Drosophila melanogaster: one gene and its partner. The gene in region 1 interacts genetically with each later gene. Each region holds a gene or a part of one and is shown on either strand. Other genes may lie near its edges.

The links. A genetic interaction does not mean that the proteins touch.
Region 2: of Rho1 (region 1) and DAAM, changing one enhances a phenotype caused by changing the other (phenotypic enhancement), as found in Drosophila melanogaster (2 studies listed by BioGRID).

Annotation. Positions count from the first base shown.
Region 1 is NT_033778.4:16,098,958-16,108,618, forward strand, and holds Rho1 (Rho1), read left to right. Parts: upstream 1-3,729; 5' UTR 3,730-3,935; exon of another isoform or gene 3,936-3,992; intron 3,993-4,139; exon of another isoform or gene 4,140-4,351; intron 4,352-4,508; exon of another isoform or gene 4,509-4,653; 5' UTR 4,654-4,661; coding exon 4,662-4,817; intron 4,818-6,075; coding exon 6,076-6,225; intron 6,226-6,759; coding exon 6,760-6,840; intron 6,841-6,902; coding exon 6,903-7,094; 3' UTR 7,095-8,272; downstream 8,273-9,661. Other genes in the region: mRpL34 (mitochondrial ribosomal protein L34), read left to right, coding at 36-58, 122-344; CG8414 (uncharacterized protein), read right to left, coding at 413-678, 737-2,824, 2,878-3,093, 3,153-3,570. UniProt on the Drosophila melanogaster protein: Has a role in regulating actin cytoskeletal organization: required during early development for proper execution of morphogenetic movements of individual cells and groups of cells important for the formation of the embryonic body plan.
Region 2 is NC_004354.4:1,304,099-1,311,410, reverse strand, and holds the start of DAAM (dishevelled associated activator of morphogenesis), read left to right. Parts: upstream 1-2,938; 5' UTR 2,939-3,287; coding exon 3,288-3,335; intron 3,336-6,565; exon of another isoform or gene 6,566-6,645; intron 6,646-7,050; exon of another isoform or gene 7,051-7,307; intron 7,308-7,312.

The sequences.
Region 1 (9,661 bases):
CTTCATGCGGTCATACTAACTGGAAATTACTTAACATGCTGCAAGGAATGCTCCAAAGGCGAGTAAATAATGAATATACCATTTATTTTGAGTGGTATAATAACATACATTGGCATTGCAGGACCTGCCTGGCGGTTGTCAGCACCGCACAAACTCTAATCGTGCGGGATAAGCACGCTTTCAACCGGGCGGTGCTGAAACCGAAAGTACGCTGCCATTTTCCGAAACCCATGGAGGTGAAGAGAATTAATGTCCACGGCTGGAATGCTAGGATGTCGACGCCTGAGGGACGACGAGTGCTGATGAACCGGATCCTCAAAGGACGTCACAATTTGTCACACTAGCCTTGTGTTAATAAACCTAACTTTATTTACAATGTTATCCGATTGCGATTGCTACAGTAAGCTCAGTTTTAGTTTCGTTGATTCGCTGGTACTCCCAGAAAGGCTGGCGCTCGATGGTAGATCTGCTGAATACTCTTCGAAGATTTCGAATCGTCAAGGATGAACACGAAGGGCACACTGCTGGACACACCTTGGCCCTGATCCCGAAGGAAGCCCTGCGGCAGGGACTGTTCCCCGCCGAGGATAAGACAATCCACCAGGGACATCTTTTGTAGCGGCATTGCTGGCACCAGGTATAACTCCTTGCGCTCGTAGTCGATGGCGCGAACCACACCTAAAAGAATTTTGGAATTCAATTAATAAGCCACAAAAGAACGTGAATGTGTACAAACCTATTCCCAAACATTGGGGCAGACCTGCTCCGTGATGGCACAGATATACTACATTAGCCTCCATGCCTCGAATCAGTTCTTCGCGCGAGTAATTCTTGCTGGTGGGATGCAGGATTTTCAGGGATTCCAAAGACACTCCCAACGGCTGGCAGTCTGTAAGAGATTTGGCATTTCCAGTCAGGCAGGAACTGAGACGTGCCAGAAGATTGGAGTACCGCATGTCCTTGGCGCTGAGACTCCAAGTTCCTTTTTCCCTTGCAGGCACTGCACTTATCAGCTTATGGAGTGTGTATTTTGGTATTTCATTGATCTTGAACTCCTCCGCAGAGTATATAATTGGTTTTATCTGCGACAGACTGTTCCGGTCGAGGACAGAATCAAAGTTATTGATTGGAATGGGACTGGCAATCTGTACAAGATCCGTGGGACGAATGCGATCCACCAGCAGAGCCATCAATTCGATACCAAATCCCTTATTATAGCCCATCGTATTTATCAGCCAAGGAATATTTGAATACTTGGCATCGTTCTGAATGTTTTGGACTAGCTGAATAACTGCTCGGGCATACTGCTCTGCGCACAAGACAATGTTGGTGTGGCCCACGACAATGGCATGTTCCGGCTGCCTGTTGTACAGGAAGCCCGGTCCCAGAAGGGGCTCATCAATTACGGTGCAAGAAATAGTCTGGGGTACAAATATTTCCGGCTGACCAATGTCCAGGTCGATGAGCAGCATGGATGGGAATTGACCCAGATTTCGGTTGATGAGGTAACGCAATAAACTAGACTTTCCGACGCCCTTACCACCGGCTACGATTATTCGGCTCGTTGCATGCATTTGTAACTTATTCCAAACCTGCGGAACTTGGAGAGTGCGACTTTGATCGCTCGATTGAATCAGACAGTGCAACAGGGTTTCACTTTGGCCAAATGGTCGATTGGAAGAATTGACAAGTGGGAATACATTTTGCGCCATGTGCTTGCCAAAGGTATCGACGAGCTGCTGGGCACTTGTGTTTCGGTGGAGCAGTACTATTGCATTCGTCTGACGCTGAAAGCTGGTCTTAATCCTGTCTAGCTGGGCGCGTGTAAAGTTCTTGTTGAGTTCTTCCCAATTTACCTCATCTTTTACAGGTTTTTTAGTCTTGGTTGGCGAAATAGATACCCAATTAAGGCCTTTAGGAGAATAAATTGTGATTGCTTCCTGCCTGCGTGCTCTGTAACCATTTACTGATATTTGACCACAGAGTAGAGTCAACACTAGTGTGCCATAAACTTCGAGGTCCTCCTTAATCACGGCCAGCACATGATTGCTCTTCAGACTGTTCTCAAAGACGCTAAGCTCAGTGGGATTCGCTTGCGGATTTCTGTAAAACGGGACATCGCTTGGTTGGAGATAATTTTCCTTTTCTGGTGTTACAACTTCAGGCAGTGATACCTCATCATTCTCTTCGGTTTCAATTGCAACTTCAGACTCCTTCTTTGGGGGCACACTGCTTAAGTTTTTTACAACAATATCCATAACACTTGACTGTTCAATACGTTCTTGCTTTTTTTCCACAGGCGGATCGTCGAAGATTTCCTCTATAATAAGCGGCTCTCTTTGCATACCCACAGGTGGATGATCGAAGAATCCCTCAATGTCAGGTGGCTCATAAGTTGAATCGAGGTCGTCGGTGTCGAAGATATCGCTTCCGAATTCTTCACTATCGCTGTCACTAACATCCTCCATATCGCTATATTCACTGTAGAAATCTCCATCACTATCATAGTCTGCGCTGCTTGTGTCTTCACTGTCAGACTCTTCGCTGTCAAATTCCTCCGATCCAAAGTCATCGCTATCTTCTGGCTCATAATCAATGTCATCTTCGTCGCTGTCAGTTTCTTCCTGTGCACTTTTAAATACCTTAATCTTTCGAACTGTTCCACTGCCATCCCCATCCAACAAAAGAGGTTGGTATTCATCGTGTTCAAAAGGAGGAAGAATATCTGATAACTTGTATTCGGGGCCTTTGCATTTGACCTTAAAAATCTTTGGATCTTTAAGAAATGTCTCGTCTATTTCTTCAACTACATCGTTTTCAGAGTCTAAAAAACATAGTTTAAGTTAAGAAACAAGAGTAATATTAAAAATTCCTTACCACTTTCAATTAAATAATCGTCTTCTTCACTCCAATCATCCAATGAATTCATTTCAATGTCACTTGTTTCCGCTGCAGTACCAATTATCTCTACTACTTTACCATTTTGTACGACCTTCATTGAGCTCTTGTTTCCATTTACCTTATGTTTCTTAGATAAACTTGCTTCTTTTGTTTTATTTGGCGTCTTGACTTTGGTTTTCTTAGGAGCTAATTCTGAAAAATACATATATATTAAAATAAAATGAGGTTGTAATTCTGGATCTAATGCATACCATTTATACTATGAACCTTGGGAATAGGAAGCTTAGCACTTTTGCTTGTTGCTGCAGATTTTTTAGCTGCAACATTTGAGGATTTATTTACAGGATTCTTTTTGGGTAGGGTATTATCCTTTTTAAGCCTCTTCTGGGATGGTGAACTGTCTGGATTCGACACATTATTGGAAAGAGGTCTCTTTGCGCCGGCTGTCTTATTTTTCTTGGATTTTTTGGGCGACTCCATCTGGGCTTTTTGAATCATTGTTTCCGAAATCTTTGCAGGATTGCTGGCCACCTTTGAAATAACTTTTTTCTTTGGAACAGCAGGTGGGTGTTGTGGTTTTTCCGGCTTACGGCGACCAGAGGCTAGTTCTCGCTGTTCGGTGAGCTGGAAGCTCAGTTTCATTTCTTTCAGAATATGTTCGTCAAGCATTCCTTTTCAGTTTTTTGCTGAACTACCAATACTTCCCGGGCCATGCGACCGCAAATTTAAGAAGAAGAGCAAGAATAACATATGTGCGGTGTTACCAGTCGTGGTCGGTCATGGGAATAACGCGCACAGAGTTGCCATCGATGAGAACTATCGATTGGGTTAATAACAGCCCTGCGCTCGAAGGCGTTGGTTGGTCATCGAGCGTTCATCCCGCTACCGAGAAATGAAACGGATGAACATTGTTCATCGTCATTTTGCATGGGAAAAAATCGTCGAGTTCAATTCGAATTTTTGTAATTGCATTAACTTTTATACGATATAGCTAAACGGTAGACGCATAAGAATCAACAAATTTGTGCCATTTTGTAAGCAAATTAAGTGTCGAATTCGTGCTGAGTGTTGTGAAATCACCAATATAAATTGTAAGTGGCCGAAAGAGCAGAAGTGAAAAAATTCCACACAGCACGCACACAAATGCACGCACGCCCAGCCAGAGGCGAACAGACACACGCACACACACACACACACAGCCATACCGAGAGTGGATGATGAGATGTTTTTGGAATAAAGTGTGAGCGGGACGGGCGCGGAGAGAGGAGTTTCCTGGAGTGTTGGAGAGAGGGGTGGAGAAGCGGGCGGCCCTATGACGCGACCAAAATGAAAATGCGAATGCGAAAAACCGTAAAGAAAAACGGGAAAAACTCGGCTAACGGACAATGGACAATGGCCAGATAAGAAAGAACCCCACACTTTATACTATTAGATCGCCGTCCAGCCGCAAGTATGACTAAGTGTGTGCGCGAGCGGGAGAGGGCTATCGGAAAAGAGAGCGAGCGCGCGAGTGTATTTGTGCTGTGTGTCCACCAGTGTGCGTGTGACTGTATGCGAGTGTGTGTGTGGCTTTTTCATTTTGATAATTTTTTGAACAGGCGCTCGTTCAGTTTTCGCGAATATATAAAACAGAACGGCTGACTCGGATTCGGAATCGAAAATTGTATTCGGATTCAGAATCGGACTCGGAATCCTCGGGCATCCGCTGCACTTGCATTGCATCTAGCTACAGTTTGATTTTGCCTTTTGCAGAACTTCCAATGACGACGATTCGCAAGAAATTGGTAATTGTCGGCGACGGTGCCTGCGGTAAAACTTGCCTTCTGATTGTCTTCAGCAAAGATCAGTTCCCCGAGGTCTATGTGCCCACCGTATTCGAGAATTATGTGGCCGACATCGAGGTGGATGGCAAACAGGTAAGCCCCTTTTCCCGGACAGGCCCGCCCCTCCCCTAACTACCCGTCCCGTCCACCACTCTGAATGCCACCCCCAACCGGTGGCTGACCCCCCTCCCCTGATAACCCCACCCTGCCATCCAAGTGATAATCGTCTGATCTCGTTTTATAATTTGTGTGCATTCTCAATTCATTCCGTTTTTCAAGTGCGCGTATCCTCCTTACACTTTCCACCCGCCTCTGTGTGTGTGTGTGTGTGTGTGTGTGTGTGTGCGGGTGTGTGTTCCCATGGGTGTGTGTTTATTGTTCTCTTGTTTGTGCCACCCACAACTTCACCCACACCTTGGTCGTTGTATTTCCTTTTCTTCGCCTGTAAAATGAAATGAGTCAATATCGCCTCATGCCCACAGACGCATCCATAAATAAAGGTGTCTGGAAAAGCAAAAGAAAAATTAAGATCATTTTTGGTTAAGTGGAGTGCAAATTTGGATTTTTCCGAAGAATTCAAAGTTTTGATAGCAGTGATTAAGTCACACTTGGGCACATTTCCCCACACTTACACGCACACATGCTCAACAGAGAGTTGGCAGCACACACACACACACAGAAGTAGTGCTGCTCCCTTCCTTCCGCTCGTTTTCTTTTCTTTTTATTTTGTATTTGTCTTATACAAGTCCGTTGCGCACATACAGTTTAATGCGTTGCGCCGCCCCCCGCTCTTTCTGCTGCTCTCTCGGGCGCTCTCACTCTTACTCTTTCTCCCTGCCTACCTGTACTCTCTTCTAAGGGGGGGGAGCGCTCTCCCGCTCCACCGCGCACTCCCTTACTCTATGGAATGTAATGTGCGTTTTCCATTGGGGCATCAAGTCATGATTTGGCTATATGTTCGTTCATATATTCCATTTGGGATCTACAGTATTTTCAGGCGCTTTTTTTCGAAATAAACACTGTGTGTTTGCCTTTGCTGCGCAATATGGCGGGTTTTCAATTTTCAGTTTCTGTTTGTGTTTCTGTTTGGATAGCGTTTACATACACACAAGTTCACGTCATTCCACTTCGCCTCGCTTCGATGTGATTAATTCGTTTGGCATTTCCGTCAAGTTCCTTGCTCACACTCTCGTACTCGCACTCATGCTATCTTCAACTCGAACTTGTCCCATTCTCCTCCGAGCCCGCATCGCACCGTCCCGTGCCACAAAAAGCCCCATCTATCTATAACCCTGACGACACCGCAACTGCAAGCGTAACTCTCAATCATAATCCGCATCCGATTCTCCAGGTGGAGCTGGCCTTGTGGGATACGGCCGGGCAGGAGGACTACGACAGACTACGACCGCTGAGCTATCCCGACACTGACGTCATACTGATGTGTTTCTCAGTGGATTCACCCGATTCGCTAGAAAATATTCCTGAAAAATGGACCCCAGAGGTGAGTTTAACTGGAATTACAGAACAGTTTCTATCAGACGATCGTAAACAAGTATGGTACTATATATATATATACTATACGGAACTAACAAGTCTAGACAAAATATGTTTTTAATTTTTATGTAATGATGCAAATTTGGAAAAAGTTGAACTTTTAACTCCAGTTAAAATATATTAAACATTTTTGAAGTTATCGAATGCATTTGCTTATGATATGGAATCTTTAAGACTATGCATCTCTGTGTTCTTGTTTATGTCATTGAAGCTATCTGAAAGACTGGTTTTGGTTTAGAACGAGGAAAGTTTAATAGAATTGTTGGTTATTTCTAGTTTAATCACTAAAAATAGTCTGCTATGAGCCAATTTGCTTTGACTTTCTGAATCATTTCCTTACTTCTCAGCCTTTAATTTATAATGATAGATATAGATAAGAAGAAAGTAAGTGGTTCCCAATTACGAATTACTTGTTTTTGCAGTTCGACTATATGGAATCTGATATCAAAATATGATACTAATCCTTACTACATTATTGCAGGTCAAACACTTTTGTCCAAATGTTCCAATCATTTTGGTAGGAAATAAGAAAGATTTGCGAAATGATCCCAACACAATTCGGGTACGTATACGCGCTGTTGAACGAGGTGAACTTGCAGCACTAAACTAAACTTGATTTTACAGGATCTAGCAAAAATGAAGCAGGAGCCGGTGAAGCCGCAGGAGGGTCGCGCCATGGCCGAGAAGATTAATGCCTTTGCCTATTTGGAGTGTTCGGCTAAGTCCAAGGAGGGTGTGCGAGATGTTTTCGAGACGGCAACTAGGGCCGCGCTGCAAGTCAAAAAGAGGAAGAAGACCAGATGCCTTTTGCTCTAAAAGAGCAAATCAACAACATGAAAATCTTTACCACACACACACACAGCAAAAACAACAGCATAAACACACACAAACACACATACACACCTTTTACAACAATAACGAGCTGAACAACAACCACTCAACAACAACATCAAGAACAACCAGAACATCGGATACACGAAGCTGCACCACCACCCAACCAGCAACAAACATGAGCAGAAAACAGAGAGCTTGAGCTAGAAGATCAGCGGAGGAGGGATGCAGCGAGATATAAGGGAAGGCAGCACCAAGTAGAATGTCAAATGCGGATTTGATTTTATATACAGTCTAGTGTAGTTATAAACCGAAGTAAACAACAGTAATAACTCTGGCATTATTATTTGTAAAAACTAGGGCAGAGCAGATCAATCAGTCAGCCACTGCAAGCAAAAAATATATATCGATATATGTAAACATATTCAAGTTGTGTCCGTTTCTGTCCACCCCCTCCTCCTAGATGTATGTTATTATTTCGTTAACTGTGTTGTCAAGTGTAGAGTCGGCTGTGGCTGGACGAGATTGTGTCGTATGCGAGGGTGAGTGAGTCAGGTGAATCAGTGGAATTAGGAACAGAATCGGAAACGGAATCGGATGTTGGATCCCGGGGTCCAAGGAGGTCGTAGGCGTCAAGATGAGAGTTATGTTCCCATTAAATCTATCAAATACAGAGAGACCAGGCCGCCAATAGGAGTTGGAAGCGAAACTACATTACAAGAGCCGAACTAAACACAAAACAAAACAAAACAAAAACGATAAATGTTTATTTAACTAAACGTAAGCCACAAATGAGATGCATTCAGTTTTCGCGTGGGAGATGCTAAGAGGGAAAATTTTTGATGAAGTGAAAAACTATTTCGAGCGCATTAAGCGAGTTTTTAATATTTGTACTTTGCATTAAAACGAGTGGAAAACATAAAAAAAAAAAGATACTACAAAACAACCAAACAACTATATGAAGAGTATTTTATGATTTTATAAAATACGATTATACATATAATTATACTATACAGTACATATGTGTATGTCTCTTTTTTTGTATTTTGTACCGTCAATCGTGTAATTCTCACACAGAAGTTGAAAAACTCGAAGATGCATCAGATACAACCAAACTATATTATACTTATGAATAAACAGTACATTTGATCTACTCTTGGTTTAACTAACTGTTTTCTTATTTGGCCGGGCATCGAATTTTATTAGGCTAAGATAATGGATTTAAATCCGGGGAATACCCGCCCTTTAAAGTCAAAACACTTATCTTTAACGGGGTTAAAAAAATCTTTATTGAGGGTATTGTTTTTGTTTATTTTGTGCTTTTGTATTTAATTTTTTTTTTTACATTTAAAATGTACATAACATTATGAATCAAAATGTTTTGGTTTTTCATCGATTAGGTATTAGGTTTCACAATATTATTCCCGAACAGGTATGTCGTTTTCGAAACAACATGGACACGACACATTGCTTTGAACATCTAGTTCCCAAGCCTTTTCTCTTAAAACGTACTTTTTAATCGCTTAACTTTCGCGGCGAAAGCAATTCTATTATATTTCTACCCGCATTTGATTCGTTTTCGTGTTGGAGCTGTTGTTTTTCTTTTTTTCGTCAGTCGATCTGTTTGGTTCGAACGGTTGCAGGATTCGCAATAACAATTAATTATTAGTAATTATGGGTAGTCCATTCAACTGTTTTTTGGGATCATGTAACAAACAGAGTAATTAAAGCCGTGTTAGTATTTTGTTTCCGGTGATGCAGTTAACATTGATGAGAGGAACTCATGGTGATTGCTTAGAGAACGTGATGTGTGGTTTCTTGTGGTAAAAGTAATCAACAGATTTCGTTAAACTAATAATAAATAAACTTAGGCGTAACACGTGTGTCCTTAACAATATAAACAATAGACTTTTCTCAAACTTAAACAACAAATGCATCGGCTGTCGTGGACTTAAATTATCAATTTGGGCTTGGATCTGAAATGAACGCACATTCTCATTCATATTTCATAATTTGCAATGTTCCCGCGTTTTACATACTTCTTAGGTCGATCGATCGATTTATAATATTAGTATACATTAAATTCAACATTTATTCGATTAGTTAAATGTGTGGCTCGTGTAACGTATGTCATGTGCGTGTATTCTGGGTAAATACGTACATACATAAGTTTAAAAATCCTCCAATTCTCTGCCCTTCGCACCTGGCAATTGGCTTTTGGGTTAATCTCCTGGCTAGGATTCAGAGTTGTTCAGATTGTTAGTGGGGGAAGACTCGACCCCTCGATCTTGCTGAATTTAAATGCTTTTGAGCTTTAGCCAATTGCCACACTTGCTTAATCGCTCTCGTCTAGGAATCAACATTAGTAATATTTACTACATAAACATATGTACGTGCATTGTTAATATGTATCTTTTGGATCGGTGCTTAAACGTATTGATATACTCTATCGCTGATCTACTGCCTCGCTATCCTTTCCGGCCAACAACAAGTACTTTAAATAGTTTCCATAACAAATAATAAATAAACCACTGTGGCCATAACAATTAGTT
Region 2 (7,312 bases), on another chromosome or scaffold:
TTATTGCTTTTACGATGAACTATCTGATTAACGGGTATCTAATAGTCGCGACACTCGACTATAGAGTTATCTTTAGTTTTTATTTTGATTTCTGAGTCATTCAACCCGCGCCGCTGAGCAAAACTTTCATATGGGAAGTGCTGGCGAGACTTTCTTAAAAATTTGAAATACTCGTGCGTCAAGTCATCCACAAGTCCACAATTTACCAGCAGGGCCCCAAACGCCCCTTGTGGGGTGGGTGAAACCGATATTAGCTGAGCGGAATAGTTAATTAAGGCATACGCGACATATGCTAATGTCGCCGAATGTGCATATCAATTTGTCAGAGTCGCTCGTCCAACTCCTCGCCCGTTTTGGCCAAAGAAGCCGCGGGCCGCTGAGCCGTAATCAGAAATCCGTAAGCCGGAAAGAGTCGGGCCAATTGACGGATGTGCGAGCGAGTGGCACAGATGCGGGTGATCCGCCGCTGGGAGAGGCAGCTGTCAGTGATTATTATAATACACTTTCATCGAGAGATTTATTTTACTCAGCTTTGTTGTTTCCTTAGCGTTGTTCCCCAAGTTCGTTGCTTAAGTCTTTTGATTTTCCCCTAGAAGGCTCAGGAAACTGGCAAGCAGATTAGCCGCATCACATCAGTTATCGCGCCCTTCACCTGCACCCCTAACCCTACCCTTTCCACCCTTTCCACTCGTCACTCACACTTGTGATTTAGTGGGCGTGCGCAAGAGAGAGAGAGAGAGTCCGAAGGAAAAGGACGGGGCGAGCAAACACTTGTGTTTGACTCATTCATGTCAGGTGCCAACAGGCGGATAAATTGTTTGTGTATTTCTCCATTTCGCTGTGATTTCTGCCCGGCAAGAATATTAAAAGGCCGTACTTTCATGCTTTCTAGTGAAATTGAAAACTCATTTAAACAGCCGAAAATAAACAAATTGAAGACGACGCGGCCGTGGGCAAAATTTCACTTTCAACCAATGTTTTTAAACACCTTCTCTGTACTTTAGGATTTCGTCAGCTCAAGCTCAAAAATGATATGGATATGATTTTACAAGATTTCGGGCGGAGGCAGACTTGATGAAGTAGGAGCATCTGCGATTAGCTGGAAATGGAAAAGGGGCTGGGCAGAGGTTGTGCCTGGAGATAGGGGCGAACCAAATCAGATTAGCCAGGGAAATGAAGTGGGTTCTTTGAGTGATTACGAACTGCCTCATGCTCACGTTTTCTTGGCCCATCGACAAAAAGCTGCTAATGGGAAATTATGTCTGGCTGCATCACATAATGGCCAAGTAATTGCGATCGAAGCGTGGTGGCTTTCGGATGAGTTGGCACAACACCCATAAAAAGCCCTTCGAGTAGCAAATGGGAGATGGGAAATGGGAGAGTCGATTCGATTTGGCTCGGGCTGTGAGGATTGCATTAATCAATAGGGAGACTACCACTCCGACTACCTATGACTATGACGGATTCCTACTAATTTGCTTCTCGCCGTTCTCCTCTTTTCCACTTGCAGCCAAAGACTAATCCCAACAACGAAGCCAATTAGCAACAACAGGTGAGTAAGAAGTCATTGAAGACGGTTCGCTGCCGAGGAGGCAGTTGGTAAATGTTCGATAGGTCTAGAAAATCGGAAAATGAGTGCGCTTTACAGCCCATAAATATAAGTATGATACATCATTGAATAGTCGCTCTTCTATTTTCAACGATCAAAATTTAGACGTGGTAGAAGATGGTTACACCATCAAATTGGTTTTAAAATAATAATAGCATTTGCCTCTTCAACTGTTAAGGGTATCAAAAAGCTAAAAAAAAAAGGCGCGAATATCCAGCCAAAACAGCTAAAGAACGGATGGCCACCTCATGCCGTCGACTCCAAATTGAATGACCGTCAGCATTCGGTATTTGGCCAATGATCGTCGGTATAAGACAACAACATTGGCTCTAATAAGGACCGTTACATAAAAAAAAGAGATGATGAGAATCGTTGCTGAAAATCGGGAAGTGGAGATAGAGGGGCAGAGGCGGTGTTTTTACACGGCGGTATTGCCATGATATTTTATTTTTTGCATGACACTTGCAAAATCGAAACAAAAGAGAGGGAATAACAAACTTTACTTGTGACGACCTTAAATTGTTTTTGACTTTGACTTCGACTCTGGCGGCTTTGAGCCCACAATTGCCAAAGTTACCGGTGAACATGGCTATGTGCATGTTGCCGAACAACTTATCGAGCGGACTAACAATTGTCTGTTGTGTGCGGCTGATTTGCCAGAGCTAATTAAGTTGTTCGATAGACAGTTCGGCTGTCCAATTGTTTCTTGGCTTGGTTTCATGCTTCCAACTCCTTTACATTGGTCGGCTAGTTGTCTCCTTTCGAAGTTAAACTATCACTGGTTGGATTGCATTTGGGAATGAATCGCAGGTGGTATTCCAGTATCGTGGACCTTAGGCTCCGCTTGGTCTTCTAAATGCTCGTAGCAGTAAGCTCTTCGTTTCACACCCATAATTACCTCGATATCTCTTCAAGTGTCTCAGCCCTTGTGATTTCATAAATACCCCAGGAATGCACCCCGCACGCACATGGAAATGCAGCACCTTCCACCACCCACTATCCACCAAGGCGGCCCCAATCCGCGAGCCAAGGCGAGCGGTGTGCGGGCGGGAGTGCGACTGAGACTGGGACACAGTGGGGTCTGCGGCATTAGGCACAGAATAGGCTCAGAGCCCGCTTTCTGCCGTCGACCGGTTTCGCGTTCGCGTTGGAGCCCGCTCCGGCTCTCGGGCTCTCTGCTGGCACCTGTCGCTGCCACTCTGTCTTGGCCAACTTCTTCGGCTTGCCGCGGCGACGTGCTCGTGCTCGTCGTGTTGCTTTTGGCCAAGTCGCCGCTGCCGTGGGCACGTCTTGAGCGGCGAGCGTTCAATGCGCTGCCAGCCGTCGATAAGAACGCACGCGAGCGGGTCAAGTCATCCGGCAGACAGAGACCGGCTATGGAAAGCAAAACCTAAGGCTATAGGCTATATAGAAGTCGAACTGATTAAATCGGAAATTGGAAATACGCGCGCGCGTGTGCTTTTCGCAAAGCGAACGAACACTGTTTGAATACACTTTGTATGTCAATTTAAAATTTTTTTTTTCTTCGGATTAATTTTTTTTTGCATCAAGTGAATTGGCAATGAGCAGTGCGTGATGTGCGAATTGGTGCTGCATCCCAGTCCGCGGCAGAAGAGACTTGCAACGCTATAGTTATAGTTTTTGAATTCGAATTCCAGTGCTACAGAGCAGTATCATTATGTCGAGCATGAATCAAATGAGTGTCCTCATGGATAAGATCAACACGGTGAGTGCCAAGGGATTCTCTGGGCTTTTGGGGGCGTTAGTGGGTCTCTGGGTCGATCCACTTAAACCTGCCAAAGAGTGGACCTTTACACGAATTCGGTTCGGTTGTTTCGTTAAATTGAATCGCTTTTTGTGCAACCCAGTAAAATGGTGTGAAAACTATTTGCTACACTGTCGCCTCGAATACTTTGTACATTTAATACATCTATTGTTATATTCATAAACTATTTTGTTTGGTTAGGAAGTCTGTCTAGCTTCTGTGCTTTTACTTCGCAACCCCTTTTGCAATTTCGAAGAAAAGTTATTGGCTGAAGGGTAAGTCCCTCTTAACTGCTTTGGTTTCGTCACGCAGTTCCCTGCTGCACCTCTAAGGTTTTCCACCTGCTGTCTGTGAGCCTCGTATCGAGGGGGGGGGGCGAAGTAGATGAGGGGCAGGGAAAAGGGGGAATAGGCAGCGAGAGTCCGCTCTCACTTGACCAACAATTTAACGTCATTTGCATTCAAAAGTGTCGCCTAGACGCTCATAAATAAAATGAAATTGAAATTTTTGCGCCTCACTTTTCCCAGTCCCCCTTCTCCGATCGCCGATCCCCGATCCCCGATGCTCGGATGCCCGATGTCCGATGCCCGGGTACTCGACGTATTTTGATTGTGTGGAAATGAAAGTGAAATGCGCTCCAGCGAAATTAAGTGCCCATTGGCCGCCATCCCGCAATCCACCAATTCCCCCGCTCACTTCGCCCCTGATTTAAGTGCGGCTGAATGAGCTTCAATTGAATGAGCTGACGAAATGCCGCGCGCCGCATAACAAACATAAAACAAAAATCAAACGAAAAACAAACAAGTGGCCGACGTCCAATTCGGCAAATTATATGGCGGGATGGGATCGGTATTGGAGGTACCGAAAGTACTCGAGGTGCACTGCAGCCAGGCGTCTGCTGTTTGTGCAACAATAATTAATTAGTAATAATTTTCGGTTGCCTTCTTGTGTGCGAGTGTAGAAATGCCGATGGGGGGTAAGAGTTGGGCAATCTGAACGGTCGAGCCTCTGCTGGATCCTCTCAAGACCCATCCCATGCTATCCCATTCTCGCACTCTCGACCAGCACTTATTGGTTGCGATGAATGAAGCAGCTCCTGGCTTGGATTCGGCATGAAATTAGAAGACTGCAACTGCAATAGCTTTATAGCAACCCAGCTGACTGAAGTCCATCGAAATGTATGTATGGCTTTGGAAAGGAAAAAGAACAAATACTGCACAGCATAGCAATGGCATTTATCGCATATTTTACACCAACTCAACTGACACAACACCTCTATGCTGGTTGGGAAATGTCATAATACCACTTGTCTGTCCTACGCTCTACTTGTGTGGGTTTTCAATGACTTGTAGCTCCACTTCGGGCTGCGCTGAGTTTACTTCCTGGCGACACACTGACGCCTAGAGGGAGTTGGGCAACGGGAAGGGGCAGGGAATGGGGGCTATCATAATTCGCGATTGGAGGGATTATCCCCAACGAATGACCAATAATTAACGGCAAGTTCCGTTGTGACGTCAACTACCGCAATCTGCGCTAGAATTCCATTGAGCTTTCTCCACGAAATGCGCAGGTTGCATAATCTGCATCTGCATCAGCATCTGCATCTCGGCCAACTGTTTGCTTCTGCATCTGCAACTGCAACTGCCGCCAAACCCGCTCGCGAACTGGTTCGTCTGGCCTGTGGCCGCCTTATTTATGACGCAAGCCGCTGGCGGATTCTAGGCTCTAGGCTAGCTAGGCCAGACTGACATTGGCCTAGCCCACGGAGTAGTTCGAGGCGATACGGGGGCATTCAGCAGACGGACTCGATTCTCACGAGCACTGGAGCTGGAATGTGGGCCAAGTCATTGGATGGATAGTTAAATTATCTCAACCGGTGGCTTCACACTTGCTCACCTCCAATTACCTGCTATTTATATGTGGCACTTTCAGCTTGAGGCTGCAAGGCCTGCTAGTATTTCTTGGGCTATGCCAAAGTCTGCTACAAAAAAAAAAATATATCTATTGCATTATAGTGTATTTATAGTGTATGAAATAATAATATGGCATAGTCCGTAATCCGAACCCTAGACAAATCCAGACAGACCGCCAAGGTCTCCGGCCACCCGTCTCCTCGATTGTGGTGACCGCATCACAGAAAGTTGATTCCCGATAACGGATTGATATCACTACCTAGACACGGGAAGCTCTGACCCATATAGCCATATAACCCTATAGCAATTGGGCATAGGCCTGGCCGCACACGAACACTTTATACATTTTCGGAGCCCATATACGGAAGCCGTGCAATGCTAATGAATCGCTGCGAAAGCAACCGAAACCAGGCACCACCAGCACATGACCAAAACTAGACTGGGAAAAGTGTGTAATAATTTCCTGTCTCAGCCTGATTTGCATGTGAAGTCCCCACTCCAGCTCGATTTAATCCACTTGGACTTGGATTCGGATTCGGAGACCGCTGCTCTCCAATCCAATCCAATCCAATCCAATGCAATTCACTCTACTCCACTCCAGCTGGCCGTCTTGTTTGACTTACTTCATCATTCCTAATGGCAATAGATACCAAAGTATCTGCATGTAATGCGATCCATTTGCGGGCCACCTACGCTCCGAAACTTTCCAGAGTTTGTCAGAGATTTGAATTGAAATTTATGCGGACATGAATTAGCCGCCGCTGACCCGACTAATCAACTGGAAAAGCATAATTCCTTTGTTTTCGCCTTTTTTTTTCCGAGTGAAAGTGCCCATCTGACAGCTGATAACGCATTTGTTCGTGGATCGGATGTGGATGGGATGTCCGGCACATAAGCCAAGCAATTAGCAATTAAAGGTAACCATATCGGGACATATTAGGTTCTCGTTTATATAAAATGAGCTGAAAGCGATCGATGAACATTCTTTTTAAATTATATGTGAACAAGAAATCTAAACGATAAATACACCTTAAACGAGGAGTTCCATATATATAGTACAATACCATGTATCTCAGTATTTGCTCTGGGTAATTATCACATCAGCTGTGATAAGATTCCCCGCCACCTTGCTCTTCCACTCTTTCGCTGAGTATCTCCGCATCTTGGATGGCGTATCATTGTCAGTGTCAAAGCAAGTAAACATGCAAAGCAAGGCAAATATAGCTATATTTTGGACCGAGTTGGATAAGATACGGATCTCGGCCAAAAACTTTGCCCAGTTGAGAACCCAGTTCTGGGGCAGGAAGATGCAAACAGCCGTGCAAGTTGAAGTCAAGAAGCCGCCGCGAAAAAACAAGGTGAGGTTCAGTTAGTTTGGAATCGCGATTGGTTTCGTTCGGCAGGGGCCTAAGGTCAAGCTCGTTTTCCCTGACCCGCTGCCCCACTCGGCAATGGAGGTGGCAATCCCAACCATCCTCAACACGGTCCAACCGCTTTCCACGCACTCACGGCAGGGGCAGGAGTTTTCTTTGTTAGGCAGATTTCACCGACAAACAAAGCAAGAAATTGCCAGCTTAATTTACGGCATTGAACTGACTGGACTGACTGGACGACAGAGTGCTAGGAAATGCGGGATGGGGCAGCGCACGATCTATGCTTTGCTGATCTTCTGCTTTGTTTTTCCCCGTTTCCCTTTTCGATAAACATTTTCACTTTCGTTTTCGTATTCCTATTCAATTTGTGTGTTTTGGGGTTTCGCTCAGATTCGAGATACGAGCGCCACAGAGTTTTCCCCTCGACCGCCAGCCAATAATCACAATAATCATGGTAAGCGGGCAGTCAGTCAGGCCAAAACAGGTTGCCGGCGGATGCCCAGACTGCAGACTTCAGACTCCATACTACACAGACTACACAGACTCGGATTTTTGGGATGCCGAACGAAAGTGAAAACATTCACCGAGCACCAAGAAGCCAAGAGGAGTTGCAGGTGAAGCTGGAGACGGAGACGGTGATGGTGACGGTGAC